4 linked regions of the Arabidopsis thaliana genome follow. The protein of the gene in region 1 binds, or shares a complex with, the protein of each later gene. Each region holds a gene or a part of one and is shown on either strand. Other genes may lie near its edges.

Region 1 (8,147 bases):
TAGAACCTAAGTAGGTCGCAGGATATGTGTCTGATTCTCGTTAACCAATCTGTGTTTTGAACAGCCTTCAAGCATTGGGAGTGTCTAGTTTTCTATTGCTTATGGTCATATGTGTGTATGGTTCTCATTGCCCCATTTTGTTGTTTAATAGCTTTCAAGCATTGCATACTTAAGGTAGTGTCTAGTTTCGGTTCCGTTTCTTGTAATCTTACTGACTAGCTAGTAGCTAGACTTTTTAAGTAGGTAGCAGGATATGGGGATGACTCTGGTTGACCCCAATCTGAGTTTTGCATAGCTTTCAGAGCATTGAGAGTGTCTAGGTTCTATTGCTTATGGTCATCTGTATATATGGTTCTTATTGCCCCATTTTGTGGTTTAATAGCTTTCAAGCATTGTGAACTTTAGGCAGTGTCTAGTTTCTGTTCTGTTTCTTGTTATATTTCTGACTACCTAGTAGGTAGACCCTTTTAAGTAGGTCGCAGGATATGTGGATGATTCTCATTGATACTAATTTCTGATTTGCATAGCTTTCAAAGCATTGAGAGTCTCTAGTTTCTATTGCTAATGGTCATCGTTGTGTATGTATATAGCTTAAAGGTTGATGTCTTGGATGCAGAGGAACAATTAAGTGCCTTATTCTCTCTAGTCTAGTAGTTATTTGCCTTGTAACAATCCTTTGTTATGTTACTATTTGATTTGAGGTTGTTTTATGTATGTAAAATCCAGTACCTAATTGTCTTGGTAATAGAATCTATAGATGTCTCAAAATCGGTCCGATTTTCGATTGTCAACACAAATGGTGCAAGATTTTGCTTTCTACATATATACTCTTTTCTTAAAAAACTACCTCAAAAGAACCTAATTGTCTTGGTACTCTTTTCTTAAAAAACTACATATATATTCAAAAAAACTACCTCAAAAGAAATTGTTTATCGTTTCTTTTTCAGTATTTTAGTTATCTGATAAAATAAAATAAAATTGTTTTTGGGTCCTCCACTATACATATGAAGAAACTTGCACATCACCATTCAGTTTGGTCACATGAGTTAATATTAATGAAAGCACTCGATTAACAACAAATATCATTAATCAAACTCAGTAAATTATTTATACATAAAACGAAATTTTATTTTCAATAGAAACTACTGATGTTTATTTCTTCATATCCTAATTTGTAACCTCATATTCTTTTGGTAAACAAACAAAACCATCAAACATGCAAATAACCGTTGGAATTCTAAAACTTATTAAAAGAATTTTTGAAGAGAACCATTTTGCTTTGAAAAAGGCAAAAAGGGTCAGAGATAATACGACATTGACTGCAGTGTGTATAACGGCTCCAATTTCAAAATTACTATCTTTAATAAAATAAATTAATTCCACTTTGACCCCATTATTCTTCAAAGCTTACAATTTCACCCGACTTTTCTTAATTTTAGAAAGTAATGGGTCCTATCCGAATACTTTCTGAAATAAAAGAACTTTTGTCTGTCACAAATCGCATTACCAAACAAAAAAGTTTGAAGTTTTGAATCTTTTTGTCTTCTTACACAAAAGACATTCCCCTAAAAACTCTCTTGTTCTTGACTCACTTCTACTTCAAAATCTCTCTGTTCTTCAAAATTCTTTGTCACAAAATGGGTTGCTGTCTCAGCAAGAAACCTTCCCCTTCTCTTCCCTCTAGTGTTAAACCCTCAGATCCAATCAAACCCATGGAACCAGTGATTGAGCCTTTGGAGGAAGAAGCAAAACCCAAATCTGAGAAACTGAATCAAGAAGAAGAAGAAGAAGAAGTTGTGGTGATAAAACACACAAGAAGCCATGAAGAGAGATCCAAGAAGACAGAATCAGATAAAGATTCTCCAGTTTCTTCTCCTGTGGCGGCTGAGAAATCGAATTCTACACCGCTTGTGAGAATCTCTAGCTGTACTAAAGAAGAAGTTGATGCTATATTGATACAATGTGGGAAGCTAAGTAGAAGCAACTCTGCTGCTAAAACAAGAAGATACTCTGGTTCTAAAAGAAGCTTTGATTTTGACCAGAACGAGAGAATCCGCGGCGGCGATGCGGCGGAGGAAGACGGAATGCAGCGAAATCGTCACCGTGGAGTAGAGAGAGTGCATGGTTCGCCTCGTGAACGGAGAAGACGAACTCCGAGTAGAGAAAGAGAAAGATCGGGAAGCAGAGAAAGAGGAAATGTCGGCGGTGGCGGCGGTGGTAGTAGGAGAGTGAGTAGATCTCCGGCGAAACGTTCTGAGATTCGTAACGCTGATTCGTGTGGCAGTTCGGTAAATTCGAGTAATAATAGACCGGGAAAGTTTGTTACGATTCCTGCAACGGATAAGAGTAACAATGTAGAGCCGTTAGTAAAACGGATTACGGTTAAGAGAAACATCGGAGACGCTTGCAGAATAGCGGCGTCTCCGAGGTCAAAATCTCCGGCTAGAGCGGGGAATAATGTTCCCTCGCTAAGCCGGAGTAATTCAAGAAAGGCGGAACAATCTCCCTATAGAAGAAATCCATTGGGAGAGATTGATCAAAACACTAAGAAGATGATAGAATCTGTGAAACCTAATTCAAGAACAAGTAGAGGTCCAAGCCCGAGTCGTGTTGCTGTTGTAGAACTTACGAAAGCTCCTCAAGTTGTGTTAAGCAGAAGCAGATCGTTGAGGAAATCTCGAGATTTCGATTTGGTATCAAACGAGGATAACAATTACACTGCATTGTTGTTGAAAGATATTCAGAGTTTTCATGGGAAGAGTGTTGATGATAGCGTGATTTCGCTGCCATTGTGTGTTAGTAAAGCTTGTTCAATTGTTGAAGCAGTGGCTGATCTTAACTCTATGACGAACAGAACTTGTTTGAGGTCTGATTCGAGCCGGTTTAGATTCACATCGACGGTGAAGAAAGCCGATCTTATGGAACCGAGTTTTGAGAAGTATGTGACTGTGAAGAGAGGTGGTGGTTCGTTGGAGGAATCATCTGGTAGCAACAATGTTACGTGACTAGGGAGATTCACTTTTAGCAATAACAGAAACTCGTGTTGTTGCGGTTTAATATGGAGAAATTGTTGTTTTGTTTGTCTATTGTTGTTTCCTTTGTTTGGTTTATTTTGTAATTCAGATGTCAATTTGACAATTTCAATGAATCTTCTTCTTATCTTCAGTCTGGCATAAAACCCAAAAAACCTGTATCGGACCCGAAACCAAACCAAATAATCATATAACCGGAGAGACTTTTAAATAATTTTACACGAATTATCCCAACTGAACCCGAACAGAAACAAAAACCAAACAGTATATCTGAAAAATCGAAACAATATCTACATATTCAAAATTATTAGATGTTTTAAATTATAATTATACCTTAACCAATTAACAAAAATATCCAAAAATATCTTAGATATATTATATATATCCAAAATATCCGAAAATTCTTAGTATTATACCTAAACTAAATGACAAAATTATATATTTTTTGTAATTCAATTTTTATTAAAATTTTGAAAAAATATGTAGTTTTTTCCAAAAACCGAACCAAATAATCATAGAACCCAAATATATACTAAATTTTTGTATCGGATGAATCCAAAAAATCTAAACTGAATCCGATCTGAACCCCGAACCATGCATACTTGGTGGATTAAACAGTTCGGTTCAGGTGAAAATTTTCAGAATTGTCGGTTTCGGATAAAATAACTAAACCGGATAAAATGTTCGGTTCGGTTTGAGTATTTCTTTTAACATTTCGTAGTTAAAAGCAACATCCAAAAGCAAAAACACACGCCGGAGAGTTTTCTAAGAACAACAGTGACGAAAAGGTTTTTAGGGTTTCTTTACCAATCAGAATCTCCGCCAAGTAACGATTTTCAGATTCCGAAGCAGCAAAGGTTAGAGCTTTTCCCTCATACGTTTCTTCTTCTGAATTCCTTGAAACCCTCCGGTGAACCAGAACCTGTTTTACATTCGTTTTCTATTCGGTGGTTTCTTTTAATTTAGGTCAAATTACACTGGAATTATCATTTGTTTCTCGTAATTCTGGATTTATGTTAAGTTTGGTGAAATCTCTCGTTGAGATGGATACGAAATCTATTAATTTTTCATTGTTATCCGTAAGCACACCAAGTGTTCGATGAAATTCCTAGTCTAATTTTTAGTAACCTTTCAGTTCAAATAATTTCCGAACTGTAACATGGCGGCAACTACTGGACTTGAGACTCTCGTCGATCGTAAGTTAGTCTTTTTTTTTGCCATTCTCGATTGATATGTGATGTTCTGTCACATGAATTGTCTAAAGATCTTATCTTTTGATTGGTTGCTGCAGAGATTATTTCGGTGATTACAAATGACGGACGCAACATTGTGGTATGTTATACTCTCTTGTGTGATATCTGGTTTAGAACTCCTTATGTCAATGCAAGTATCTTAGTAAAGAGATCGATTTTTATATTTTTTCAGGGAGTTCTTAAAGGTTTTGACCAGGCTACAAATATAATCCTTGATGAATCTCATGAACGTGTGTTTTCCACAAAGGTTAGCTTCTGATTCCTGTTTTAAAGTATTTTCATCTGAACTTTTCGATGTTACTAAATTGAATGGGTGCAAATACATTTTTCTGCAAGTAAATTGGCCAGTGTATGACCTGCAAAACCTTGTTGGTTTGTATCCATGAGTGGCTATGATGTAGCAGAGTTCTCGATGTCTCCATATTTTGTTTGTAGTGATCGCATAAAACTAGAAAAATAGAGGTACTATAAGGATGCTAGTTTATCTTTTGTTCATTGTCACTCAAAGCATCTTTCGTCGTCTGGTATTGATCTTTTAATTGGTACTACGTTCTTGCTAATAATGTACATTGCTTGATTTAGTTGCGTAGTGTCATCTTTTCAACAGAATATTGAGGAAACTTACTCAGATATTTAAGATAGGCCTTGTCCTACAGTTCTTTGTTTGGTAAGAGAATAGTGAATCATGAACTAACTGGCCTCTGAATGGAAGTATCTAAATCAGATAGTGTTGGATACACCGAAACAGATTTAGTGTTAGTATTCTTCGAGTGTTATAACTGATTGAAAAAATCTTGTGAGTTCATATGTCAAAAGATTTAGCTAGTGATAGGTAAGTCAAATACGTAGATATTGGCAGTGTGTAATTAATTATACATGATCACCTCCTTTTTTTCGTAAGAGGGTTAAAGGTTTGATTCATGTCTGTTTTCTTGTTTACACTAAGAGTATGTCAGGTCATGTTGATACTTCATTAGACAAATGTTCTTGGATATTTTTGGTGTGAAGGCAGAGTTCTGTTAAAATGATGGATATTGGAATTAGGATTGAGACCTCTTACTATGTCTTCATCTTTGCAGGAAGGAGTACAACAACATGTGTTGGGTTTGTACATCATCAGAGGGGACAACATGTAATTCTTATCATCCATCATCATCAGTGATTTTCTAACATTGCAATTGTTTTTTTGTTTCAATAAAAAAAATGGTGTCATCTTTGATCAGAGGTGTTATCGGGGAGCTGGACGAGGAGCTTGATGCTAGTCTGGATTTTTCGAAGCTGAGAGCCCATCCGTTGAAACCCGTAGTGCATTGATTGAATATAGTTATGGTGAGAAAATCTAATTCTCTCATTCAAAGCCTAAAAACAAAGAGAAGATTTGATTGTAAACAATTTGGATAGTTTGTTTTGATGTCTGGAGTTGTCTTATTTGTGTATCCTAAGGACAAAAGCTATATGATATTTTATGTCTTAAACGTTTTGGTCGGAAACTTAAATCATACAATCTTTTGGACGGACCTAGGTTTGCTACTAGACCACAAATTCTTTGATTAGAAAAAAAACTTTTATTGTTAACCAAAATTTTATAGATATTCAAATTGCAAAAGAAAAAAAAAAGAGGAATTAGTTTCTGGTATCTTACAAATTATAATGTCGTTGCAATTTCATCTAGAAGGATTATATACATCATCAAATCTATCAACATCAACAAATGGCCGTATTTAAAACTTAGAAGCATCATACATTTTCTATAAGACAACAATATAGATATTAACTTAATATGTCATTCTCCCATAGTCGCATCATACAAGTCGTTGGTTTTGGTAATAACTCGCCAAAACCAAACACTTCTGATTTCATCGGAGTCTTGGGTCTTCTTTTACGATTCCAATGTAATATTCTTCATATTAAGTGATTTATTTCTTGAAATTTTTCATAGTAAGTGTTATCAGAAGCTTTTGATTTTTGGTTATTAATATGAAGAACAAAAGAATTGCGTTCTAAAAATTTTTCGTTGATAACGATTAATATTAAACAGAAACACTACAAATAAATTAACATCGTTGGGGCCTAGGGATTTCGAATGGAATTTTATTTGCAAAAAAAATAATAAAATAAAGCATGTTAACAAAAAAGTAAAAGAAAAAAAATTCATGACGAAATGCATGAGAACACTGCTGCATAAGTCTTAGGGGATTAGGTCAACAAAAGTAAAGTAGATCTTCATCAAATGTATTTTGACTTTATAATGTACCTATTAGTCAAACTATATGCGATCTAAATATTAAAAACTTGTATTTTCTCAAAGACAATGCGAGGCGTAAATATATGAAATTTTATTTTGTAGATTAAGTACCATTTATATATGAAATATAAATAAATCAAGAAGAGTAAACATGAAAGAGCAAAAGAGTAAATAGAAAAAATTATAGGAAATAAAAAGAAACAAATAGTAATTGGAAAATATCTTAAGTGGATATAACTTTTAGTTGTTTGATAATGTATAGGACTACAATATATGTATTTTCCAAAAAGTCATCCTAATTTTTCCATCTATATTGCAAGTAATTTGATACCTACTAATGATTTTTATTTTTTTTATTTGATGGGTTCACATCAAACTCAATTTCCATAAAAGACCGCTACCTAAGCAGACACGCAAATTCACATTACACGTGTGATGTGTTGTATGGAAGCGAATGTACTTGTTTTTCATAATCTATAGGTTCATATAGAGAAGTCTCTCCATTGAAAAGTTCTTCCCTCTTGACTTTAAAAACTCCATAAGGTCCCTACTTATATTAATTTCCCAAACCCCTAAATAAGATCTACAAACAAAGCTTCTTCTTCTTCTTGGTGTCATCAAGATTTTCCAAAAATGTCTCAACACCAAAAAATCTATCCGGTCCAAGATCCAGAAGCCGCAACAGCGCGTCCAACAGCTCCTTTGGTTCCTCGTGGTTCCTCTAGATCAGAACATGGAGACCCATCCAAAGTCCCTTTGAACCAAAGGCCACAACGGTTCGTGCCGTTGGCTCCTCCAAAGAAGAGAAGAAGTTGTTGTTGCAGATGCTTTTGCTACACGTTCTGCTTTCTTTTGCTTCTTGTCGTTGCAGTAGGCGCATCCATTGGTATACTATACCTTGTCTTTAAACCGAAGCTACCGGATTACTCTATTGACCGGTTACAGCTCACCCGGTTTGCACTGAACCAAGACTCGAGTTTGACTACGGCTTTTAACGTGACTATAACCGCTAAGAATCCGAACGAGAAGATTGGAATTTATTATGAAGATGGGAGCAAGATTACCGTGTGGTACATGGAACATCAACTAAGCAATGGTACGTCACTTTTGGTTTACTCCGGTTTGCTTTCTTTTGGTTTTTTAACGTAGGAAGGCTTCAAAATCTCACTACAAAACCGGTTTATTTGGTTGATTTCTGTTCTTTTCCTTTGGTTTGGTTCGTACACAAGGAAGACTTTAAAACTCTTTTCAAATTAGGGATGTCTAAATTTTTTTGGTTGGCTTTGGGTTTACTTTCATTTTGGATTAGGATTGTCAAATACTGTATATCTTTAGTTTCAAACAAAATTTGGTTTAGATAGTTTTTGTTCGGTTCATATTCAATAGTTCGGATATAATAGAGTTAATTCATTCAAATCAATCGTTTTTGGTAGAGTTGGATCATACCGGTTTATCCGGACTGAAAACCCCAAAACTAAACATATTTATTTATGTTGTTTGGTTTTCTTGTTTGATTATAATTCGTTTACACCATTTCAAACCGGGTCTTCTTATAGATTTAACTTCATTGAACTTTTGTGATTTTTTTGAATAGGGTCGTTGCCAAAATTTTACCAA
Region 2 (7,937 bases), on another chromosome or scaffold:
TGTGACCATAGTCCCTCCATCTTGAGGGGGCGTGTCAAGGATATGATATGATCATATCATCATTCCCTGTATATCTTATTTCCTTTTCTATCTCTCTTTCTATAAGAGACTTAACCTAGAGTTTTCTACTGATTCATGTATATATATGCTTGTAATCTCCTTTGGAAATATATGCAATACACATTACTTACACTCCTCCGATGACACTTGGACCCTATAGAATAAAAAATGTATCGCCTTGCAAACAAATCCATCCAAACCCAGTCGTGTGGTCTGACGCCTTCCATGATCCATCAAACTGACATCCAATGTTCAAGAACATAAGTTATGAGGTTGTGGAGTCATTTTGTTTCCTCAAGAGCCTCTAATTGTGTCTCCTCCCTTTATAATTGTTAACTTTGAGCATAATTTATAATATTAGTGGGTTCCTCGTAGAGTCTCTTAAACACTTTATCATTCCATGCTTTCCACATAAACCATAAAGTCCATAGAAACAAAATTGAATATTGTGATTTGTGAAATGGCAATGTATAAGTGATGTGGGATGTTAAAATTGATGGATGATCAAGATCGTCGTTTGATGGAAGTGGCCCAACTATTTCTTAACGGGCTTCTTAATGGGTTTTAAGGTTGCCCACAAATTGTGTGCCACAATGTTTGTCGTTGTCGCTAATTAATGGCTTCGTTAATTAAACACTTCTAATAATTCTCCAATGGAGTTTACGTGACTCTACAGTCTCTCTTCTCCATTCTCCAATTTCTACAAAGATAATGTGGATTCACCAAAAATTCAGAGGAAGGACACGACAATGGTGAATTCGTACGTTCCTCTTCGTTTCACCATTTTCATCTCCTTCTCCATCGCAGCAGCTTCATCCTTCAAACTCCACTCCGCTTCTCATTCTCCGTCGTCATTTCCGAAAGCCACCGGCGACGATCTACTCTCCGTTCTCGGACCTCCCTCCGCCGCGTCGTGCCTCAACCCAATCGTCTCTCGAGAGATCAAATCGTGTCTTAAATTCCTCGTCCCATTCAAATCGGATAAACCTAAACCCGAATTTGGACGATGCTCGCCTCGTACTGGACTCTGTTCCGGAAAAATTGACGCCGTTGAGAGACGGAGCAAGTTTGAAGAGGAGAATTCTCTAATCTGGTGGCCACCGGAATCGGTTCTAGAGCTTGCTCGTCTCGCTGTTGACTCCGGTGGTGATCCCGGTTCAATTCAGCGAACTCTCAATCCGAAAATGATCCCGGTTCGTCTTCAATTTAATGGTTTGATTTGGTTTATTGTTCGTTAGATTGAATTGGTTAAAATTTGGTTTTATAGGTTCCTGATGTTGAACGATCAAGAAAAGATAAATGTCAACTTACTAGAACTCCTTATGGTCGTCATTTTATAGCAGAGGTAAAAAAAGAAGCTATTTTGTGAACTGTTTGATCTTATGGTGTAGTGATCTGATTGATGATGTTAATGAACAGGAAGTGAACTCATATTTCGAGTTCTTGTTTCATCTAATTGAATCTAGGGGACCTAGTGTTGGATTGAATGTTTCATTGAGTAGATATGATTTGTTCCATGGCCATTTATTCCTTGCCTCAGAATCTGGACGCCTTGGAATATTGTAAGTCTCCTTTGTCTCCTCAACACACACTAGGACTCTTGAAATAGTAATGATGATCATGTTCTGTTACTGACTTCGTTGTGTAAGAATCGAGACGCTTTGATAGGCACTAGAATAGTAGATATAAGGGGGTCTAGACCATTTGGTTAATTGGGAGCATTTAGGCTTTGAGAGTGAAGAGAACTCTCTAGGGTTTGTTCTTGTGTTCTTGAATGTAACCAACAGTTATCAATAAAGGAAGAATGGTTTCTGATTCTTAACACAATTGTTGCAGTGTTTTTAGAAAGGTTGAACGTAAGTAATGAGTTTTGGGGAATATTTATAGAAAGTTACATGGTTGAGCTAGGTTTTGAGTACTGTTGTTGACTAGTATCTGATTGGTGATGGTAGGTTTCATGCTAAAGAGTATCCAGCCTATGACAAGAAAGTGTTTCCTTACAACATGGGATATTGCCAGAGAGGTAATATGGGTTCTTGTCCGTGTGACTGTGAGTTTTCTTGCAATCTCTTGAAACATAGAAATGGTCACAGAAATCCCTTAAATCTTCAGTATTATGATTGTATCTCCTTTTTGTTAGGATCTGACGTGAAATACAATGATTCAATGAACTTGAGGAATATCCTTTGGCTTGCACCATTACCTAGCAACTCTTCTCCAGATTGGGTTGCTCCAGGTATAATATCTGTTTTCATCTCTGAGAGTAATAGAAAAGATCTAAACACTTCATAGTTTCAAGATGATCTTGTCTTTCATTAGTATCGTGGAAAACAATTGTAGTGTTACGTTTGACATCTTCCTTTCCTTTGATTGATCTGTAGGTGTACTTGTGGTTCTTGATGCGCATCCGGATGGAATCATATACCGAGATCTCATCCCTGACTATGTTAAGTTTGTAAGAACAATATACGAAGGTTTGAACAACTCTATACCTTCTCTCATCTCACTCATCAATTTGCTTCATTGTAGATCACATTTGATTACACATACATACACTCAAAGTCTCTTAAAGATTTATGCTCTATTGAAACTTTATGTCTTATCCTTCTCCACCAGATGATTTGGGAACAACCGCAGTTGATGTCAATTACTTGAATGTCGGAGCTCACGAACCTGACTATCAGCTTTTCATGTGCTGAAACAAACCAGTTACAGATTCACAATTACACAGTTGTGTGTAATTGAAACTTTGATTAAGATTTAGTTACTGGAGCTGGTCGAGGTTCAATAACGTTCGAGTTGGTTGATAATTTAGAGAGGTCTGAAGTATTGTCGGTTACAAAATAGCTTTAACAATCACATTGCTGAGGCTTTAAGCTTAATTGTAAAAGTTTAGGATTAGATTTGACATATCACTTGGCTTTGTTTGATTCACACAGTTCGCCTTAGTGATGTAAATTAATTAATTTCGAGAGCATCAATAACATATTAATGATTAGTTATTTTCCACCAGGTAACCATTGCCAACGGCTACAAATACACTTTGGTGTAGACAAAGTATACGAAAAATTAAAACAAAAAGCTCCGATGCCGGGAATCGAACCCGGGTCTCCTGGGTGAAAGCCAGATATCCTAACCGCTGGACGACATCGGATTAGTTGGCTAGATTGATATGTTTAACAATATATACTAAAACAGATAATATTATAAAGTTAAGGGACTCGAGTGCAAAACTCAAAAAAGTTCCCATTGACCTAAAACTAAAAGACCACCGATTCATTAGAAATCCATCCCTCTCACTGTCAAAACCCGAGAAGCAGAAAAAAGCAAAAAACAGATTTCGAAGTTTCGACGCCTCTCTATTCTTCGATCTCTTTCATATTTGAATCGTTCACCTTCTTGCCGATCTTCGGAGTATATTACAAGGTTTCTCCCTTTTCTCTCAGATTTTTTTTAGTAGCTGAATTAGGGTTTTTGTTCCGTTTTCGCTATTGCTTCTTCCGCATCTTATAAAGGGTTTAATGTTATACTTCTCTGATGTCATCAGGTTCTTAACGGATCTCTAAATCTTCTGATTTAAGAAGATGGTAAGTTACTAGACAAACTTAGGGTTTTTTTCCTTCTTTCTTGTTTGCGTTAAAGTTTCAATTTTTATTAACTGAAAGCTGTTGTTTTGATTTTATAGCTTCCTCTATCGCTGCTTAAAACTGCTCAAGGGCATCCTATGGTGAGTAAAATTTCGACCCTTGATTACAATTTTGTTATATATGAAGTGAAGCTGAGTTTAAGTGAGCATTGCATTAGGGATCTAAAGGAACTTCCTTTTACTGTAATTTTGAATCTTGTTTTGTTTTGGTAGCTCGTGGAGCTTAAGAATGGAGAGACATACAATGGGCATTTGGTGAATTGTGATACTTGGATGAACATCCATCTGCGTGAAGTCATATGTACATCAAAGGTTATCTTATGTTTTCATATGTTGATACAAATATACTTTGTTTAGACTTCGTGATGAAATTTTGTGTAGCTGACACTCATATATTTTGCTGCTTGATTACTCTAGGACGGAGATAGATTTTGGAGGATGCCGGAATGTTATATCCGTGGTAACACAATCAAGTACCTTCGAGTTCCGGATGAGGTAATTTTTTTTTGTGTGTGTGTGTATATATCTCTTGCTTGATCTAGTTTTTTCTTTGTTCCCCTCTCTCTGGAATGATGATGCTTAGCCAAATCAGATATGTGCTCCAAGAGGCATTTTTCTGTGGAACCTTGTTCAGCAGATGGTGTGCCTCTTGTTGTAGTGCGTCTTAGACGATATCACAGGGAATGGTTATTGCTGACCAGAATGTTGACCCACTTTTATGGACTTTGCTGTGTTGTGTTTCTGATGCGATTTTTCTCTATTGTTTCTACTTTATTTCATTCCCTCTAAAATCAAATTATATTCACATACCATAAACGATATCTTCATCTAGAAGGACAGTCATATGCTGTTTCTATTTATGTTCTTACTGCTGCAACCTAGATTGAGTTAACTGACTTAAATTGATTTCTTCTCTCTTCAGGTGATTGATAAAGTACAGGAGGAGAAGACACGCACAGGTATAGTATTACTCATGTCTATATTGTACCTTTACTGAGATATGCTTCGAGTTTTCTGAGGTGTTAATATTTTGCCAGAGTAGACATTGAGAATACTTCAGGTGTTAATAACGATGGTTGAATATGTGCAGATAGAAAACCACCAGGTGTTGGACGTGGAAGAGGACGTGGTGTGGATGATGGAGGAGCCAGAGGCAGAGGCAGAGGAACTTCAATGGGGAAGATGGGTGGCAACAGAGGTAAAAAATACACAAACAAAGCTTGTCACAAAACTCTGATTTTACTAGAATACTTCAAATATCTGTGTCTTGCCACAATGGGATTTAAGCTAAAACTCTAATATGTTATGAAAAACAGGAGCAGGTCGCGGCCGTGGTTGATGCAACAAGTTTTAAAGACTCGCTGCCAAATCTGCTAACTTCCCATTGTGGAGAAAACCAAAAGTTACATAAGAAGTTGGTCTGTTGTTGGTTTTCTATTAAGTATGTAAGGGATAGGGAGTGTGTTTTTCGATTCTCCTTGTGATCTTTTCGAAAAATGAAATTTGTCTTTTGCCTTTTTGTGGTATATGTGAAATTCCAATTGTTTTCATTTGCGCTTAAAAATGAATCTTTCAGGTCTTGAATTTATATAATTGTTAGAGAATTTATACAATTAACCAACGACAGGGTTTTTATAAGATCTTTGGTCCATCTTACCCTTTTATTATTTTTCTTTTTTTCCTATCTATTCTTTTTTTCCTCTTTCACCGGATTTTCTCCATCACTCGTCGGCATGACATATAAGATTAGATATGATTTAAAAAACGCATGTATTTCAAAGACAAAACATGCTCTTAAGTCTTTACATTGACTTGTAAATTTTTGTCAAGCTATCTAACAAAATCTCATATTTTTTTTTTGGAACAGATTCATATTTTTGTCAAGATTTCATGTTATATAAACAAATTACATGTCTTTTATCCAATATATCATTAGTATTTCATAAAATAACTATGTTTTAATGTAATAATTATACATATCTGTCAATATTTCACGTTATGTAAGGAGTCATATGTATTTCTTCAAATATCATGAAAATTACATATTTTTCTTCACTGTATTTTTACAATTGAATTTTCCTCTTCTCAAATCTATCGGAAGTCTTATTGTAATATTAGAAATTGATAAAGATATTTTCGTCAATATACACCGTCTAACGTGTGAATCCATAGTTCTTTTCTAACAAAAACTAAACTTATGATTAATATCTTTATTTAATCTCAGAATTTGGCTATCTAGTAATAACAACCTAATTATTATCTGAGTAAATCCCTAGAAAAAACTAGTAGTAATGGAATTTGCATGAGAATATGAGTATTTTGGTCATTTATTTTATTTTTCTCAATGTAAACTTAAATATTTATGGGTAAACAAAAAATAAAATCATAGAAGATGATATAATTAAAGATTTGCGAACGAAAATCTCATAATCAAATCTCTCTCTTCTGACACACGAAATAATGACGATAATAACCCTATCCCGACACAATCTCTGACATAAAATCAAAGCATTTAATGCTCAAAATCTCTATAAAAAAATTCATGCATCAGAATAGTTAGCAGATAACGTATTATCAGGATAACATGATAACAAATATCTCGGTAATATTTATTAGGTTAACATGATAACAAATATTTATATCAATAAGTTTATAATTATGTCATGGTAAGTCATTTTGTATCGCGATAAGTTATAATTGATGTGATATATATAGATATTTACCATCTTAACTCATTTATTATATCATAATAAAAAATTAACGAGTTACTATAACGTACAAAATATGAATTTCATCCAATAACATTATTATTATCACTACCTCTAGATAAAGTTTTAGTTAACTAGGTAATTTAATTGTTAACCAATTTGAATCTGAACAAAAACTACCATTGCGTAATCTTCAACCACCACATCTCCGCCGTATTCTTCTCACCCCATCATTTCAGAACCATTTTTTTCCTCTACCGCAAACCCACACCCTAATCGATTTAGAACTAGATCTTTAAACGATTGAGAGAAACTGCCGGTAATTCGCGAAACTTATTTGGATTTATCGACCAGAACCACAGAGCTTTGAACGGAGACTGGAACTGAATATCGGAAAAAAGAAAAACAGAGTTAAGTTGAATCGAATCTATATGAGAGATATTATGTCTCTCGTCTCTGACACACGTTACTGTGTATCTTATATATTACTTTAGACTGGATAGACTGTGTAGGGGCTTATAGGTCATATTTTGTGTACAAAAACCATATAAACAATGTCGAAAATATGTCAGTTAATTAACGGGTCTTCTTTGGTCATCTTGTGTAAAAACCCAATATTTATTAAACAATTACGTTAAGAATTTATTTTATCTTTCATCTGCTTCCTTCATCATCTCTCTCTCTCCATCGCGTACAACAGTAACACAAACCATTTTTTTTTAAATCTTTCTCTCTCTTCTCTCAATCGAACTTTCAGAGAAAAAAAATATAATCTTTGCCGAGTGGAAAATTTCCGGTGAAGCCGTCCCGAGTGACTCGGGCTCTTGCCCGGTATCTTTCAGCTTCAATAGTGGAGATAACCGGTTTTATGTCGAGCAAATCCAGCTTCCATAAGTGGTGTTGACTGGTTTTTATCTTTTTTCCAGTCAATCGGATTATTATCGATTGCTTTACTTCTTTTCCATGTTTTCTTTCAATAATTTCTAAAAATCTGAGTTGGTAATTAGTTTTAAGTGCTAGCTATTTAAAATTAATGTCTCTGGCTTTTGGTTTTAGAAACCTCGATTTGCAAGAAATCGTTCAAACGATTACATCTGGGTTTGAAAGATTGAAGGATAATCCGATGCTTATTAGGATTCTCTTAAGCCGTCTATTTCTTTGGGAGCTCCATCCATATCTATTCTGGTGGTAAACAAAGATTATTCGTACGTTTTATTCGGCGATGTTTTCCTCCACCGGATTTGGTGCTCGTCGACGGTGGAGGCTGATGTCCGTACACTTCCGATGACTCATTTACATGTGCTGTAGTTATAATCTCATGTCAACACGTGTCTTTGGATAGAGTCAAATGTTGAAGATCTTTTGGCTGTTGATATTAATCTGGTGGATCTGTTGTTGGACCTTTCTTTTATTTCAGCATAATCGTTGTAGGCTTTTACGCCTTATACCCCTTTGGTGGTTAATGAAATTTACTTCGATTAAAAAAAAAAAAGAATTTTTTCTTCGTGGAGGTAAAAACAAAA
Region 3 (7,875 bases), on another chromosome or scaffold:
TCAAAATCTTTTTATCTTACTAATTGGTGATATAAATATAATTAACAGAAATCTTGTTGGGAAAGAAGATGTTCATTATTAATTATTACAGCAATCATTATGATCGAAAATCGATATTTCTTCTAACAATTGGTCCAACCAAACAACATATCATTTAATTTTTTGTTCTCAAACAAATTAATGATCGAATTGTATTTTTAATTATCAATTATTCGGTTTTACAGATACAAAATTTAAAGCCTTTTTGGATAAGAGAAAACGTGGAAATAAATAAAACACGAACTACCATTTCTCAATCAAATCAAATACTAGAGAGACGTTAAATACTAATTCGAATTAAGTAATGACACCTACTTATACTATTCCCTCCAATTTCTCTTTCTAAAAGAGTCCCTCGTAAAGACCAAACCTTTTTTATCACTCTCTCTCTCTATCTCTTCATCGACCAGACCAAACGCTTCTTCACTCTCTCTCTCTCTCTCTCTCTCTCTCTCTCTCTCTCTCTCTCTCTCTCTTTTCTCTTCAATGTCAGATTTTGAATGCCACAACAACAACGAGCCCTAAAACTAGTTGTGTGTGATTGGGGGAAAAACGTTGCAAATGACTACAATACCCTTCTGCTTCCTCTTTGTAGCTTTCTTCTTCTCTTCCTCCACCGCCGATCAACGTCACCACTCTCGTCACTTACTTCACCAACCCTTTTTCCCGGTCGTAACCGCCGCTCCACCACCGTATCAACCACCCGTCTCTTCCCAACCTCCATCTCCTTCCCCACACACACATCACCACCACAAGAAACACCTAACGACGACGACGCCACCACCTCACGAGAAACATCTTTTCTCCTCCGTAGCAAATCCTCCACCTCCTCCGCCGTCTCCGCCGCATCCAAACCCTTTTTTCCCTTCATCAGACCCAACTTCCACCGCCTCTCACCCTCCTCCAGCACCACCTCCTCCGGCCTCACTCCCAACTTTTCCCGCCAACATCTCTTCCCTTCTCTTTCCGACTCACAACAAACAATCCAAGCCTCCCAGCAACGGCCACATCGCTAGGCTCGTCACCATAACCGCCTCCGTCATCTCCGCCGCTGCTCTCCTCTCTCTATTCGCCGTCTTCATCATCTTCATCCGCCGAACTCGCCACCGCCGCCGCTCCTCCCCTGCAGACGACACCAAATCCACGAGATCAGACGCTCTTCAGCTCTTCAACGCCTCTCCTTCCGACGGCTCTAAGAAACAGAAACAACATCAACAACCACCAAAGTACACTTCCTCACACACTTCCTCTGAGTTTCTCTACTTAGGTACTTTAGTAAACTCTCGAAGCAATGGTTTAGAGCAGCAAAAGTCTCCAATCTCCCTCTCTGGCGGTATCACCGGCGTATTGGAATTACCTCCTCCAGCTTCGTCGTCTTCTTCTTCTTCTTACTCACAGTACCATAAGCTAGGCTCGCCAGAGCTTCGTCCTCTTCCCCCTTTACCAAAGCTCCAATCTTTCACTCCCGTTTACAAAAGCACTGAACAGTTAAACCCTAAAAGACAAGACTTTGACGGAGACGATAACGAAAACGATGAGTTTTTCTCTCCGAGAGGATCTTCAGGGCGTAAACAGAGCCCGACCCGTGTCTCTGATGTTGATCAGATTGACAACAGGAGTATCAACGGCTCAGGCTCGAACTCGTGTTCGCCGACTAATTTTGCGCCGTCGTTGAATGCTTCTCCGGGAACAAGTTTGAAACCTAAGTCAATTAGTCCTCCTGTCTCGCTGCACAGTCAGATAAGCTCAAACAACGGCATTCCGAAGCGGCTTTGTCCAGCGAGGCCACCTCCACCACCTCCTCCGCCGCCACAGGTCTCGGAGGTTCCGGCTACTATGTCGCATTCCCTTCCTGGTGATGATTCTGACCCAGAGAAGAAAGTGGAGACCATGAAACCAAAGTTGAAGACTTTACATTGGGATAAAGTTAGAGCAAGCTCGAGCCGTGTTATGGTGTGGGACCAAATCAAATCAAACTCCTTTCAGTAAGACATAACGAATCTGAATTAAAGACTTGATCTATCCTTTTGCATACACGACTAAGATATGATTCTTTTGTGTTTTTGCAGAGTGAATGAAGAAATGATAGAGACATTGTTCAAGGTGAATGATCCAACTTCGAGAACAAGAGATGGCGTTGTTCAATCCGTGAGTCAGGAGAATCGGTTTCTTGATCCAAGAAAGTCACACAACATTGCTATTTTGTTGAGAGCTCTTAATGTAACTGCTGATGAAGTATGTGAAGCTCTTATAGAAGGTGAGTAATTTCCAATCTGTTGTTGCTTAGGTTACTCGCACTTACTGCAACATTGCATTGGTTTGATGATTCCTCAAATTGGTCTGTGATTATTGAAGCTTGACTTGTTTGACTTAGTTGATGTCTAATCACTTTCTTGTTCATGAATCAGGTAACTCGGATACGCTTGGACCCGAGCTTCTCGAATGCTTGCTTAAGATGGCTCCTACTAAAGAAGAAGAGGACAAGCTTAAGGAGCTTAAAGATGATGATGATGGATCTCCTTCCAAGATAGGACCTGCAGAGAAATTCCTCAAAGCATTGTTGAACATTCCTTTCGCCTTCAAGAGGATTGATGCAATGCTTTACATTGTCAAGTTCGAATCAGAAATCGAGTACCTTAACAGATCCTTCGACACTCTCGAGGTAAAACTCTACTTGTCCACCTCATAAGTGTATGTCTGCTGATCAAACAGATCATTCATATGCATTTGATCAAACTCTCAGGCTGCTACTGGTGAGTTAAAGAACACGCGGATGTTCTTGAAGCTTTTAGAAGCCGTGCTCAAGACTGGGAACCGGATGAATATAGGAACCAATAGAGGGGACGCACATGCTTTCAAGCTCGACACGCTCTTAAAACTGGTAGATATCAAAGGCGCGGATGGGAAAACCACCTTATTGCATTTTGTGGTTCAAGAGATCATAAAATTTGAAGGAGCTCGGGTTCCTTTTACTCCGAGTCAAAGCCATATAGGCGATAACATGGCCGAGCAATCCGCATTCCAAGATGACCTAGAGCTCAAGAAACTCGGGTTGCAAGTCGTTTCAGGTCTCAGCTCTCAGCTGATTAACGTCAAGAAAGCAGCGGCAATGGATTCAAATTCCCTCATCAACGAAACAGCGGAAATCGCCAGAGGAATAGCGAAAGTCAAGGAAGTAATCACGGAGCTAAAGCAAGAAACAGGTGTAGAGAGATTCTTGGAGTCAATGAACTCGTTCTTGAACAAAGGTGAGAAAGAGATCACAGAGTTACAATCTCATGGAGACAATGTCATGAAGATGGTTAAAGAAGTAACAGAGTATTTCCACGGGAACTCGGAAACTCATCCTTTTCGCATTTTCGCTGTGGTCAGAGACTTTCTGACGATTCTTGATCAAGTGTGTAAAGAAGTTGGACGCGTAAACGAGAGAACGGTGTATGGATCCATGCCACTACATTCGCCATCGAACCAGACCGCCACGCCTCTGTTTCCGGTGGTTATCAATAACAACTCACGGCTAAGTCCATCGGGTTCTCTAGACGACGACGATGGCTCGTTCTAAGTGAAAACTGTTGGCTCGGGTTTGGTTCGGTGTATGCTAATGTTTTGGTTTCATTTGCTACGTACTCAAGTAATATATGTGTTATACATATTTATATTTTTATTGATAGGCGAATTTAAATAGATTTTGGCAGATTGTTGCAAGTTGCTATCATCGGGCTCTGTACGTGTTCCAGTCCTCTGTTGAATTATTTATGTCACGTGTAGATGTATTTATTGATCTAAACCTAAAACGATAGAAGAACTAAAGTCTTGTGAAAAGTTAAATTATTGCAAGCTATACTATTTACAAAATGTAAAAAAAGAAACTGAAATTATTCTTTTGTTTGGTTCACATTAGGCATTTCCAAATTGCTGATGTCAAACATCTTTGCAAAGTTCTTCTCCCAACGAATTTTGAAAATTCACCATTTTCACGATTAAAATTTTAAAATTGACTAAAAAGTTTTAATCTCGCACATAATTAAACCACAATAAAAAAACTTGGACTTCGGATTGTTTTCCATGTGGGCTGATTCGAATTTGGGCTTGGGCCTTTTTAATTGTAATTTTATTTTTACTTATTTGTAAATGCGTCACATGTCTTCTTCGCTCTGTTCGGCTGCTTCATCGAGCGGAAGTCTCTAGCCAATTACCGTTTGTTCGTGGACTCGAGGTTCGTTGTTCTTAGATTTCCCAGACTCATCTGTTTCTGCAATCCATTTCAAAGTTTCTCTTTTTACTTAATCCAAGTCATTCGCGCATTTCCTAATTGGTCTGAGGTTTAGGGTTTTAGGGCACATAGTTTTGTTTGATTCGGGAGTAATCGTTGAGATGCTACGAGTTTGGTATTCAAGATGATTCCTTTTCTCAAGGTCTTTATGTAATTTGATTGATTTATGGATCTCGAATTGCTGACATGAATTTGTTGCTTAAAGTTGTTGGCTTTGTGGGATATTCTGAGGGGTCTTGTTTGATTTGGATCTAATTTGGTGGGCAGATATTGTGGTTTCTTAGCAAAGAAGATGAGTGGAGTTGGAGAGAAAGCTTCTGGAACAACTAAGACACCTGCTGATTTCTTGAAATCTATCCGTGGTAAACCAGTTGTTGTCAAGCTCAACTCTGGTGTTGATTATCGAGGTCTGTCTCTCTCTCTTTCTGCATTTTGTGTTCTCCTCTAAGATGTATCCAGTTCAAATTCTTTTTTTTTTTGCCTTGTGTGATGATATCTTATAGTTTGCTTCTGATTTTCGGTGGTTATTAAGCTATCGGAAGTCTATGTAAACTTCTTTATCACTTTGGGTTTAGATGTCTCAATGCCTTTCTTTCTCGCCATGTTACTGGAACCTTTGGATGTTGGTTTACAGAATGACTCTTTTCTTTGTCTAAGAACTGCTTGCTTGATTCTCATTTGATTTGAAAGTCCCATCTCTGAAGATTCATTTTTGTTGAGCTTGCTTGTTTTTTCCCTATCTTGTCTCTGTGTTTGAGAAGGAATAATACATTTCGGCTTGAGATATTTGCTTTGGATTTTGAGAAATATAATCTAGATGAGCAGGAAATTAACATACGGCTTTGAAACATATGCTTTTTGGAATTTGAGAGGAATATTAGATTCAGATGATAGCTTTGTGAATTGAGAGAGCTTCTCTCATGAGATAACAGACCCAAATGTGGTTGAATTTGAGATGCATTTACTCTTGCTTCTGATAGAATATGGACTCTCACCTTGCTATGGAGCCTTTATCACCTGAAATTAAGACCTTGGTCTCTTGAACTCTATAATATAACTTACAGGACTAGGAGAACTTCTAGCTTGAATATCTTTCTTTGGTTTATCTACAAAAGTCAGACTTATTCTTTCTTTGGCATATCATGTTGTATCAATCTACATATGACACTTTGTCTCTCTTCTTGTTTGCAGGCATTCTTACTTGTCTTGATGGATATATGAACATCGCAATGGAGCAAACCGAAGAGTATGTAAATGGCCAGCTGAAGAACACATATGGCGACGCTTTTGTCCGTGGCAACAATGGTAAAAACCAAATCACATTCATCATCACTCTTTAAATCGGTTTAGTATGTTTTTTTATATCCAATTCTGAAAAATATGCTCTATGTTGGCCACAGTTCTTTACATCAGCACAACAAAGGGGACATTGTCAGATGGAGCATAGCTCTCTTTCATCACCATGAATGTTCATCTTCTTCTCTACCTCTGGCATATGACAAATGTAGGATTTGTAGCAACCAGAGTTTATCACCACTGCATGAATTCGACATGTCTTTTTCTTCCGCAACTCAGTTTGTGTCTAAATCATCTCCAAAATTCTGAGATATAGCTAGATTTTTATTTGTTATGAAATTTTTTTTAATCACTGTTGGTCTTTGGAGCCTAATTATCGTGTTTTGATGACGCAATCACTGCGTCACAATCTGATGTCATCTTAACAATCATTAATGTATTTTTTTTTTCTTTTCTCGTAATATTCTTAATTATTCTTCGACAGCAAAGGTTTAAAAACTCCTTATTTCAATCATTAATGTATTTATGATTTGATCGAATAACAATAATATAGCTTATTTTGTTCTATTCTATCGTATTTGATTCTTCTTTCGTTTTTTTTTTGTTTGACTTAAGAAACCGATTGTTTATAGTAGTAAACATTTGTTTTTAATGTTGCTCGATTCCAGTGCACATGTCCAGGCTAGACACTTGTCGTTATAAAGGTTGCTTTGGTTCAATATTGATCCACTAGAGATGTTACAACTATTGTTGACATCTGAGATTGTGTGATAAGAAAATATGAAACTGGATTTAGTGAAAGTTACAATATATAATCATACATCATAGATAGGAAATAAGGAAATGTCAGATATACTTGAAGAATACATCAAATAGACAAGGTCCTTTTTCTTATTGTCGACTATTATAGAGCCGTACAGAACCTTTTCACGTCTTTAGTAATTAGTACATTCTCCATTTCGGCTCTCTCTTATTTTTTTTCCATCTCTTTTACTTCTCCAAATAATAACAATAAAAGCTTCGATTTTGTGTGTGTTTGTATTTACATCTTGACATCGATATTCTTTTCATCAATTTTTTACCAAAAATGTAATAAAAACAAAAAAAAACCAACGCTGAACACAGACATGGTTTCTCCATCCGTTTATATTCATCGTTTGTATGTTTACTTAACAACTTATTTCAAAATAGTACATATCATGGTTGTGTTTTTAAAAAAAGTATACAGAACAGAAAAGCACATGGTAGACAAAATAATGAAGCCAAAATTAATACAAAGAAGAAGTTCAACTTGTATTTATTAACACATTTTCTTTCCTTGTCAAAGACATGCAAATTGGTTTTGTTTTCTTATTCCCATTTTTTTTTTATAATAAAAAGAAGAAGAGTAAAACAAAAAAACTATCATTTCTTCTTATCGCAAAACTCTTATCTAAGCAAGAAACCGACAAAACCTATATCTACATATATTCTCATCAACATCTCTTGAGACATATTCATTTTGGTTAAAGCAAAAGATTTTAAGAGAGAAAGGGGGAGAAGTGAGAGAGATGGAGCATAAGAGAGGACATGTATTAGCAGTGCCGTACCCAACGCAAGGACACATCACACCATTCCGCCAATTCTGCAAACGACTTCACTTCAAAGGTCTCAAAACCACTCTCGCTCTCACCACTTTCGTCTTCAACTCCATCAATCCTGACCTATCCGGTCCAATCTCCATAGCCACCATCTCCGATGGCTATGACCATGGGGGTTTCGAGACAGCTGACTCCATCGACGACTACCTCAAAGACTTTAAAACTTCCGGCTCGAAAACCATTGCAGACATCATCCAAAAACACCAGACTAGTGATAACCCCATCACTTGTATCGTCTATGATGCTTTCCTGCCTTGGGCACTTGACGTTGCTAGAGAGTTTGGTTTAGTTGCGACTCCTTTCTTTACGCAGCCTTGTGCTGTTAACTATGTTTATTATCTTTCTTACATAAACAATGGAAGCTTGCAACTTCCCATTGAGGAATTGCCTTTTCTTGAGCTCCAAGATTTGCCTTCTTTCTTCTCTGTTTCTGGCTCTTATCCTGCTTACTTTGAGATGGTGCTTCAACAGTTCATAAATTTCGAAAAAGCTGATTTCGTTCTCGTTAATAGCTTCCAAGAGTTGGAACTGCATGTTAGATCTCTCTCTATCTCTTTCTTACAATTCTTAAACCATCTCTTGTTCTTGTGCATGTACTAACTGCTCTTTTTTTGTTTACAGGAGAAT
Region 4 (7,336 bases), on another chromosome or scaffold:
CTTTTATGTTATTCTTGTTACTTTTAAAATTTCCTCACTTGACACATTAGTTTTTACTTTTCTTTTTAACTTTTTTTACAGTTCGGCTGTGGACTCCGAGACCAATGAGAAGGTAGCAATAAAGAAAATAACGCAAGTATTTGATAACACTATCGAAGCAAAGAGAACTCTTCGTGAAATCAAGCTTCTTCGTCACTTCGATCATGAGAATGTTCGTTTGATTTTATAACTATTGTCTCACCTTTTTTCTTTTATTTTGTTATTCATTAAAAGCTAACTATGTAATATCATTTTTCTATAGATTGTTGCAATCAGAGACGTAATCTTGCCTCCTCAGAGAGATTCATTCGAAGATGTTTACATTGTGAATGAATTGATGGAGTTTGACCTTTATCGAACCTTAAAATCAGATCAAGAACTAACCAAAGATCATGGCATGGTGTGTGTTTAGAGTTATTGTTTCTTGAAACTTAAAAATCATTTTGATTAGTGAGCTTGACACAATCTTCAAATTTTTGGCAGTATTTCATGTACCAAATCCTGCGCGGATTAAAGTACATTCATTCAGCCAATGTGCTACACAGAGATCTAAAACCAAGCAATCTCCTCTTGAGTACACAATGTGACTTAAAGATTTGTGATTTCGGGCTCGCTCGTGCAACTCCTGAGAGTAATTTAATGACTGAGTATGTTGTCACAAGATGGTACCGTGCACCTGAGCTTCTGTTGGGCTCTTCTGACTATACCGCAGCAATAGATGTTTGGTCTGTTGGCTGTATTTTCATGGAAATAATGAACCGTGAACCGCTCTTCCCGGGGAAAGATCAAGTTAATCAGCTTCGTTTGCTTCTGGAGGTAGTAAAGTAAAACCCTTTGTTGTGCCAAGATCATATTCGTTTTTTGTGATTCATGATTAGCTTAAAAAGTCTTGGGACATTGTTTTGCAGCTCATTGGCACTCCATCTGAAGAAGAGCTTGGATCGTTGAGTGAATACGCTAAGCGATACATAAGGCAGCTTCCTACGCTTCCTCGCCAATCTTTCACTGAGAAATTCCCGAACGTGCCTCCCTTAGCAATAGACTTGGTGGAGAAGATGCTAACATTTGATCCTAAACAGAGAATCTCAGGTCAGTTTCTGTCTCCATATAGCCTCTTCTGCAGTTTTATTTGGATTCTTATCATCAGTTTTGCCACTTTGCAGTTAAAGAAGCACTTGCTCATCCATACCTTAGCTCGTTTCACGACATTACCGATGAACCAGAGTGCTCAGAGCCCTTCAATTTCGATTTAGATGAACATCCATTCTCTGAGGAGCAGTTTAGAGAGTTAATCTACTGTGAAGCCCTAGCTTTCAACCCTGAAACCAGCAATGATTGAAAAGGACCATATCTTTGATCCTTGTTCTGTTTTTTTCTTTTCCTTCTCTGCTTTTCTTTGAATAATTTCCCTTTTCATTTCCTTTAATTTTTTCATCTCTCAGAAATTTTGTTGTGCTAAGATTTTCTGCTAGATTCCCTTTTGATGTTGTCAAATTTCATTTTTAAGCAAATAAACTGAAAAACCATGATTCTGTGGGCATCATTGCGACTTTCAATCCAACAAATATTAATACATGAGCTATTGTCAAAAATATAACATTGCAACAAGGAAGAAAGCAATCATATCCTACTTTGAGTATTTTGATTGAAGACAATCTTACTCTTTGTAATAGTTCATTTGCAGTTTTGCTTTTGTCAATTCTTCAAATTGCCAAAGAATCTAGAGAGTGGTACAGGGCCATCGGTTTCGTGTTTACTTTTGCTAGAGTGTTTGTCTCTGCTGGACTTGTGCTTCTTCTCCTTCTTTGATCTTTTCGAACTTGATCTTGATCTTCTAGATTCATCTTCATCACTGCTAGATGACGACTCTGAGGACGAATAATGCTGCAAATTCATAACACAACCGATCATGGTTCATGTTAGCATAAGCTAGAAAACCTCACACTATCTGATATAAGCTAAACTTTTAGAAGGCACCTTTCTCTTTTTGCTTTTCTTCTTCTTTGAATCTCTGTCTTTCTTATCTGCGAGGTCATTGAACCATTGGCGACCAGTTAATAACGTCCTCAGAAAGAAGGTTTAGATGTCATGTTAAGTTAAGTGGATTATGTTTACCTTTTCGTGACTTATCACTAGAATAGTTCCTTCCTTTGGAGAGTTTCAACGACCTTTCTGCATCCAGCTGAGCTCTATACTCACGCATCAGTTTATCGGTATCTGCTTCAAGTTCTCCCTTTTTCAATTCTTCTTCCTACACATGTTACACGAAAGAAAGATATAATGTTAAACATTTCCTAATGTTCCATACTCACAATACAGAGAGACTGCTGCAAGTAGTAGTAAAAAACTGATATTGCAGATAATAAAAATGTTTAAAAAATGAGCATGACTAGAGTTACTTGAAAACCGCGAGATAGGGATAGATGTAATGTAGAAGGAAGACACACTCATTTTTATATAAACACACAAAGACTGCGTATCTGTGGCTGAAGATGATAAACAGCAGAGGAAAAGAAAATGATATGTTGGAATAAAGCTTCTAAATTGACGACAATAATAGCAATCTTATGAACACTAAATCATCAATGGTCAATTGATTATCTTCTATGGCATTATAACAAGGAACACCGTTCCATACAACATACAGAAGAACTTAAGTATTAAAAAGGCAAAAAGATTACCTTTTGCTTCTGCTTATACTCTTCCCAGGTAATAGTATGTGTAGTCTTGAGGCTAGCCAAACGAGCCGCATGCCACTCTGGTGTATGAAATGAACCATCCACCTGAGACAATCCTCATCAGAAATGTTCCGGTACCAATGCAAAATATCAAAGTTTGACTAATCCAAATGCTTCTTTGTGTTCACAGCTTACAACAACAATAAAAAGACTCTTGAATCACTGTAACACAAACTCTGATGCTACACTTTTACGAAATCACATTTAAACATGGACTTGATATCGTCTACAAGACCTAGCAGGTATTAGATACAAGTTCTTCCCCCAAAATTGGGACTCATAAAGGATCTCTTGTAGGCTTAATTCTAAATGCAGCTCGATAACCCAACAACACAAAAGATCAACAAAACCATAAGTAAATCAACCAAATTGGAATTTTGTTTGGAGAAGTAAAAAAAAACAGAATCAATTTGCAATGAAGAAGATGAGAGTATGAAAAGGTACAAACCATTCCGTCTTCAACCTCATCCGGCTGGGCGGAGCTGGAACCAACCCTAGATCTCTGCATAGCCTTGTAAGCTTGATTCTTCCCCATAGCTAATAGAAGATTTACCCCACAAGAAACAGTCCGCAAATTCCTTGCAGGAGAAAGAGAATTTAGAGAGATTGAGAGGAATTGTTTGTAAAATCTAGGGTTTGGGGGATTAACGGTCCAAAGGGAGAGGATTTAGGGATCTGTAGAGAAAGCAAACGAGAGAGAGACGAGAACAGAAGAAACTGTGAGGTCGAACCGAAACGCACTGGAGATTTAATTTCACCCTCCAAAGTAAAATAATAAAATCTATAAGGACTAATGTTCAATTATTATTAGTTTTAATATGAAAACTCGATCGAATCGAAATAACAATAATCATATAGTATATAGTTTTGGAAATAAATAATAAAAGCCCTTAGGACCGATTCGTTATTTCTTCGCTCTCTCTTTCTCTCTGTGTCTCGTACTCGAGTAGGTCTCAGGTAAGGAGTTCTTCTTTCAGTTCCTTTAATCCTTGTTAAAGTTTCGATTTCTCTTTACATTTTCAATCGAATTCGCTTCTATTGGGTTGAAGGTTTAGGTTTTTAGGTTTCGGAGTCTTTTTGTGATTCGAGAGATTGACTCTGAATGGTTTTTACCTTTTGAGTTTTTGTAGTTCGAAGAGCGACCAAACTGATTTCAGATCTCAATTGTTTCTGCAGTTACGTAAAGGATCGAGCTTAAAAGATGAGTGGAGTTGAAGAGAAAGTTTCTGGAACGACAAAGACACCTGCAGATTTCCTCAAATCCATCCGTGGGAGACCCGTTGTTGTCAAGCTCAATTCTGGTGTTGATTATCGAGGTGCCTCTCTCTCTCGTTAGATGTTCTTATGTGTTTTGCAAGTTCTCTATCTCTGCTGCACTTTAGGTTAGAAGCTTTGACTTAGGACTAGTTCTTTTGTCTATGTTAAGGGAATTAAAGAGTTGCTTGTATTAAGCCCACTTAAGTAACTTAATTATCATGTTATGTCTTCAGCTTTTAAATGATTCTTTTAAAGTCAATATGTGAAGCTTTTCTTACATTTTCTAAGGTTTCCTTGTGAACATTGTTCAATGGTTTTCTTAAGAACATGTTCCTTTCTGCCTGCAATAAGGTTACAATAGTTGACTGAGATATTTGAATATTTAAGTCAGTTTCTCTCATTATCAAGGCTACTTATATCATTCTTGTTGACTTCTTTCCTTTCGTGCCCGAGTCAGTTTTGTCTATGTTCTGTTCAAGCTTAATGTTGAGTTCTTGATCAAGTTTTTATTACTCTTTTCACAGGCACTCTTACTTGTCTTGATGGATATATGAACATAGCAATGGAGCAGACGGAGGAGTATGTAAACGGGCAGCTCAAGAACAAATATGGTGACGCCTTTATCCGTGGAAACAACGGTAACTAAAATCTCTCACACTCATCCTTCTCTCAATCTTCTTCTTTGTATATCTTTCTTTTTAAGTGTGGTTTCTTTGGATGCAGTTCTTTACATCAGTACAGTAAACATGACTGTAGCAGACGGAGCCTAGGCCCATCATGATCATCAACAACAACAACAGTGGTCATGTTATGGCTGCCATTTTTGTTGTCTTCTTCTACCTCATATTAAAAGAGTAGTAGACATGTACCAAGATTGTCATCCTATGTTCTTCAGTAGATTTTTGGGATACAGACATCACTTTTTTCTTAGTAATATGATACTCTTCCATGTGACCCCAGATAAAGAAGAAAAATTATTAATTTATGGCTTGATACAATCATACAAGCAAACAAAATTGAGTTTGGGTGACCAACAGATCGAAACGAGGAAGATCATTAAAGTTTAGTAATCGAATTATGTCATTTAGGGATCACTGGAAACACACATGTCAAACTAGTATAACCAGTCAATCATCAGATTATCATATTCATAGCCATCGACACATTTGAATCAGGAGTTTCCATTGAAATAAAACGCTCAAGATATCATTCTTGGCGTAATGTTATTTTTAATCTTCAACCTCTTTTCACATTACTAGCAAAAGGTCTCGTATTCTTAGCCGCTTGTATATGTAAGTAGCCTGCTTATGTCTAAGCAGCAAAACATGAAGTAGAGCTTCTCTCAATAAAACTCTCTTCACTAGTATTAAAAAGTCTATGTGTGTCTTAAAATCATAGTATTATTTCCTTCAGCTTGATTCTTCTTCCGTTGCATTTTCTTCTGGCTTGCTTCCCAATCTCCCCAACCTTACAATGTCTTCCACCATAATTCTTCCCTCTGTTGAATAACAGATTTATAAAAAAGATCAACTTCAGGGAGATAAGAGCTCAAGAAGGAGAGGATCGCTCTGTTCTTTACCTTTATCTTTGGAGAGACTACTGATTAGTTGTTGAAGGCCGTCGTTAGCGAGTGTGTCTTTCAGGTACATTGCAGCAGCCGCAACTTCATCAGGTGTGACTTTTCCATCTCGATCTCTGTGTTCATTCAGATGTGATCACTTTAGATTCTAAGTCTCGGAAACAGAACACTCAAACAGAAAAATGGAGTCTATATACCTGTCAAGAAGCTGCCAGCCTTTGCCAATTTTGATATCCACATCATCAATTTCCTTCTCTAGGTTTTGTATCAGACCATCAACCTTAAAAAGTATGACCGAAGAGTAAGCCTCTTAAACAAATCTCATGGGACTTTAATAGTCTTAAAAACCGATTTAAAATCTTCTTACCTTCTCCATTAGTGCAGAGGAAACCTCGTCTGCTTCAGCAACTTCATCAGCTTGGTCAATATCTACTCTAGCTGCTTTGTATGCCTTCATTGCAGCTTTTTCACCATCTACATCTTCTCTCTCGACCATTGTGTTATAGAACTCCACCTGGAGAAACAGAAAAACAAAGTCTTTCAATCTACGACACAAAGTGCTGATCAAGCATTGGTGGACAGCGTACCTCTTTCTTGACCAATCTCAGGAATTCTTCGCGCTCTCTACACACCGACTGTTTATATCAAAAGCAAACAGAGTATCAAATAAATATCCAATAAACTGCTCTGCATACCCATTGTTGATAACCATAGACTCATTTTTCTTACAGAAGCGGAAGCCAAAACGCCCAAGGCGCGGCTAAGTTTGCAAAGATCATCTTGTTGTTCAAGAACTCTAGCTCTGGCCTGTTCTTGTGCTTCGCTGGCTGTTGGTATGGTCATCTCTTGCAGTGCCTTATCCTCGTCACCACCTTTAACATCCTTAATCCTTGTAAGCTCTTCTTCTTCTTTCTCTTCTTCTTCCTGCAAATATAATAAATACAAAATGTAAAATCTGGAGCAACCAAAATTCGGTTTCTCTAACTTCCTCAAGCAAGCATAATCCAATACAGTCAAGTGGTGTATCAAGACCTTGATCAGTTCTTCTTGCATCTCAAGGTACTCTAATTTCCGTCTTCGCTCAGAAACAGGGTCTTCAGATGGCAGAGAAGTAATACCAACAGTATCCACAACCTCGTCAGGTAGAGAAGAAAGAGTAGCTCGGACAGCATCCTCTGCTTTAACTCTTCCAGCAACCGTGAATGCCCTGAATATAAATTGCTCTTAGAAATTTCTTTGCAATAAAACTGATCGAAGAACAAAAAAATGACAGCAAAGAGTACTGGAACCAACCTAGAGAGGATCAATAACGAAGAGGGGACAGAATGATTAAGTGACAAATCCATCCAATCGCGAAGCTACAAAATTGTTTCAATACTAAAACATTAATAGCTGTAGAGTTATCTTCTCCTGATGGAGTTTAATAAAGAAATAACAAAGAATCAAGAATCATAGGAGTAAAGAGGAGAAACCTGTTGCCTCATCTCTTCAACTGAAACCAGTCCCAGCATTCCCCGTTCCCTGCAATCTTCGCGTAACTCAGCTTCTGAAAGGGAATCCACACCCTCAGCTCTAATCAGTTTATCATCTTCCTTAATGCTGCAGTGAAAAGAAGTAGAAATTAAACATCAAATTAAGGTAAAAACTAACAATTCTAATAACAACGAGATATGGAAGAATCTTACCTCCTCAGTCTTTTTCTGAGCATATACCGCAGATAAGC

What was found.
Region 2: LSM8 (region 1) and emb1644 share a complex: the UniProt entries of both Arabidopsis thaliana proteins name them as parts of the heptameric LSM2-LSM8 complex.
Region 3: LSM8 (region 1) and LSM6B share a complex: the UniProt entries of both Arabidopsis thaliana proteins name them as parts of the heptameric LSM2-LSM8 complex.
Region 4: LSM8 (region 1) and LSM6A share a complex: the UniProt entries of both Arabidopsis thaliana proteins name them as parts of the heptameric LSM2-LSM8 complex.

The regions. Positions count from the first base shown.
Region 1 is NC_003070.9:24,431,915-24,440,061, reverse strand, and holds LSM8 (Small nuclear ribonucleoprotein family protein), read left to right. Parts: upstream 1-3,767; 5' UTR 3,768-3,820; exon of another isoform or gene 3,821-3,889; intron 3,890-4,167; 5' UTR 4,168-4,191; coding exon 4,192-4,228; intron 4,229-4,323; coding exon 4,324-4,364; intron 4,365-4,457; coding exon 4,458-4,532; intron 4,533-4,875; coding exon 4,876-4,952; intron 4,953-5,233; coding exon 5,234-5,285; intron 5,286-5,364; coding exon 5,365-5,417; intron 5,418-5,508; coding exon 5,509-5,599; 3' UTR 5,600-5,859; downstream 5,860-8,147. Other genes in the region: AT1G65710 (serine/arginine repetitive matrix-like protein), read left to right, coding at 1,638-3,005; AT1G65690 (Late embryogenesis abundant (LEA) hydroxyproline-rich glycoprotein family), read left to right, coding at 7,164-7,626, 8,125-8,147. UniProt on the Arabidopsis thaliana protein: Component of the nuclear LSM2-LSM8 complex which is involved splicing nuclear mRNAs. LSM2-LSM8 binds directly to the U6 small nuclear RNAs (snRNAs).
Region 2 is NC_003076.8:9,812,260-9,820,196, forward strand, and holds emb1644 (Small nuclear ribonucleoprotein family protein), read left to right. Parts: upstream 1-3,240; 5' UTR 3,241-3,486; intron 3,487-3,607; 5' UTR 3,608-3,644; coding exon 3,645-3,647; intron 3,648-3,745; coding exon 3,746-3,787; intron 3,788-3,919; coding exon 3,920-4,018; intron 4,019-4,123; coding exon 4,124-4,201; intron 4,202-4,270; exon of another isoform or gene 4,271-4,408; intron 4,409-4,628; coding exon 4,629-4,665; intron 4,666-4,796; coding exon 4,797-4,904; intron 4,905-5,022; coding exon 5,023-5,045; 3' UTR 5,046-5,359; downstream 5,360-7,937. Other genes in the region: AT5G27710 (T-box protein), read left to right, coding at 810-1,253, 1,328-1,405, 1,480-1,622, 2,013-2,083, 2,201-2,296, 2,442-2,534, 2,677-2,759. UniProt on the Arabidopsis thaliana protein: Component of LSM protein complexes, which are involved in RNA processing. Component of the cytoplasmic LSM1-LSM7 complex which is involved in mRNA degradation by promoting decapping and leading to accurate 5'-3' mRNA decay.
Region 3 is NC_003071.7:18,145,121-18,152,995, forward strand, and holds LSM6B (Small nuclear ribonucleoprotein family protein), read left to right. Parts: upstream 1-4,076; 5' UTR 4,077-4,255; exon of another isoform or gene 4,256-4,454; intron 4,455-4,579; 5' UTR 4,580-4,604; coding exon 4,605-4,719; intron 4,720-5,503; coding exon 5,504-5,617; intron 5,618-5,712; coding exon 5,713-5,759; 3' UTR 5,760-6,175; downstream 6,176-7,875. Other genes in the region: AT2G43800 (Actin-binding FH2 (formin homology 2) family protein), read left to right, coding at 601-2,024, 2,109-2,296, 2,448-2,701, 2,783-3,601; UGT74F2 (UDP-glucosyltransferase 74F2), read left to right, coding at 7,159-7,782, 7,870-7,875. UniProt on the Arabidopsis thaliana protein: Component of LSM protein complexes, which are involved in RNA processing. Component of the cytoplasmic LSM1-LSM7 complex which is involved in mRNA degradation by promoting decapping and leading to accurate 5'-3' mRNA decay.
Region 4 is NC_003074.8:22,092,863-22,100,198, forward strand, and holds LSM6A (Small nuclear ribonucleoprotein family protein), read left to right. Parts: upstream 1-3,606; 5' UTR 3,607-3,734; exon of another isoform or gene 3,735-3,953; 5' UTR 3,954-3,978; coding exon 3,979-4,093; intron 4,094-4,558; coding exon 4,559-4,672; intron 4,673-4,757; coding exon 4,758-4,804; 3' UTR 4,805-5,104; downstream 5,105-7,336. Other genes in the region: MPK10 (MAP kinase 10), read left to right, coding at 82-211, 302-439, 523-855, 948-1,128, 1,203-1,378; AT3G59800 (stress response protein), read right to left, coding at 1,735-1,923, 2,017-2,063, 2,155-2,290, 2,721-2,822, 3,226-3,312; LETM1 (LETM1-like protein), read right to left, coding at 5,427-5,530, 5,614-5,729, 5,811-5,893, 5,981-6,127, 6,201-6,248, 6,343-6,537, 6,646-6,820, 6,907-6,971 and 2 more. UniProt on the Arabidopsis thaliana protein: Component of LSM protein complexes, which are involved in RNA processing. Component of the cytoplasmic LSM1-LSM7 complex which is involved in mRNA degradation by promoting decapping and leading to accurate 5'-3' mRNA decay.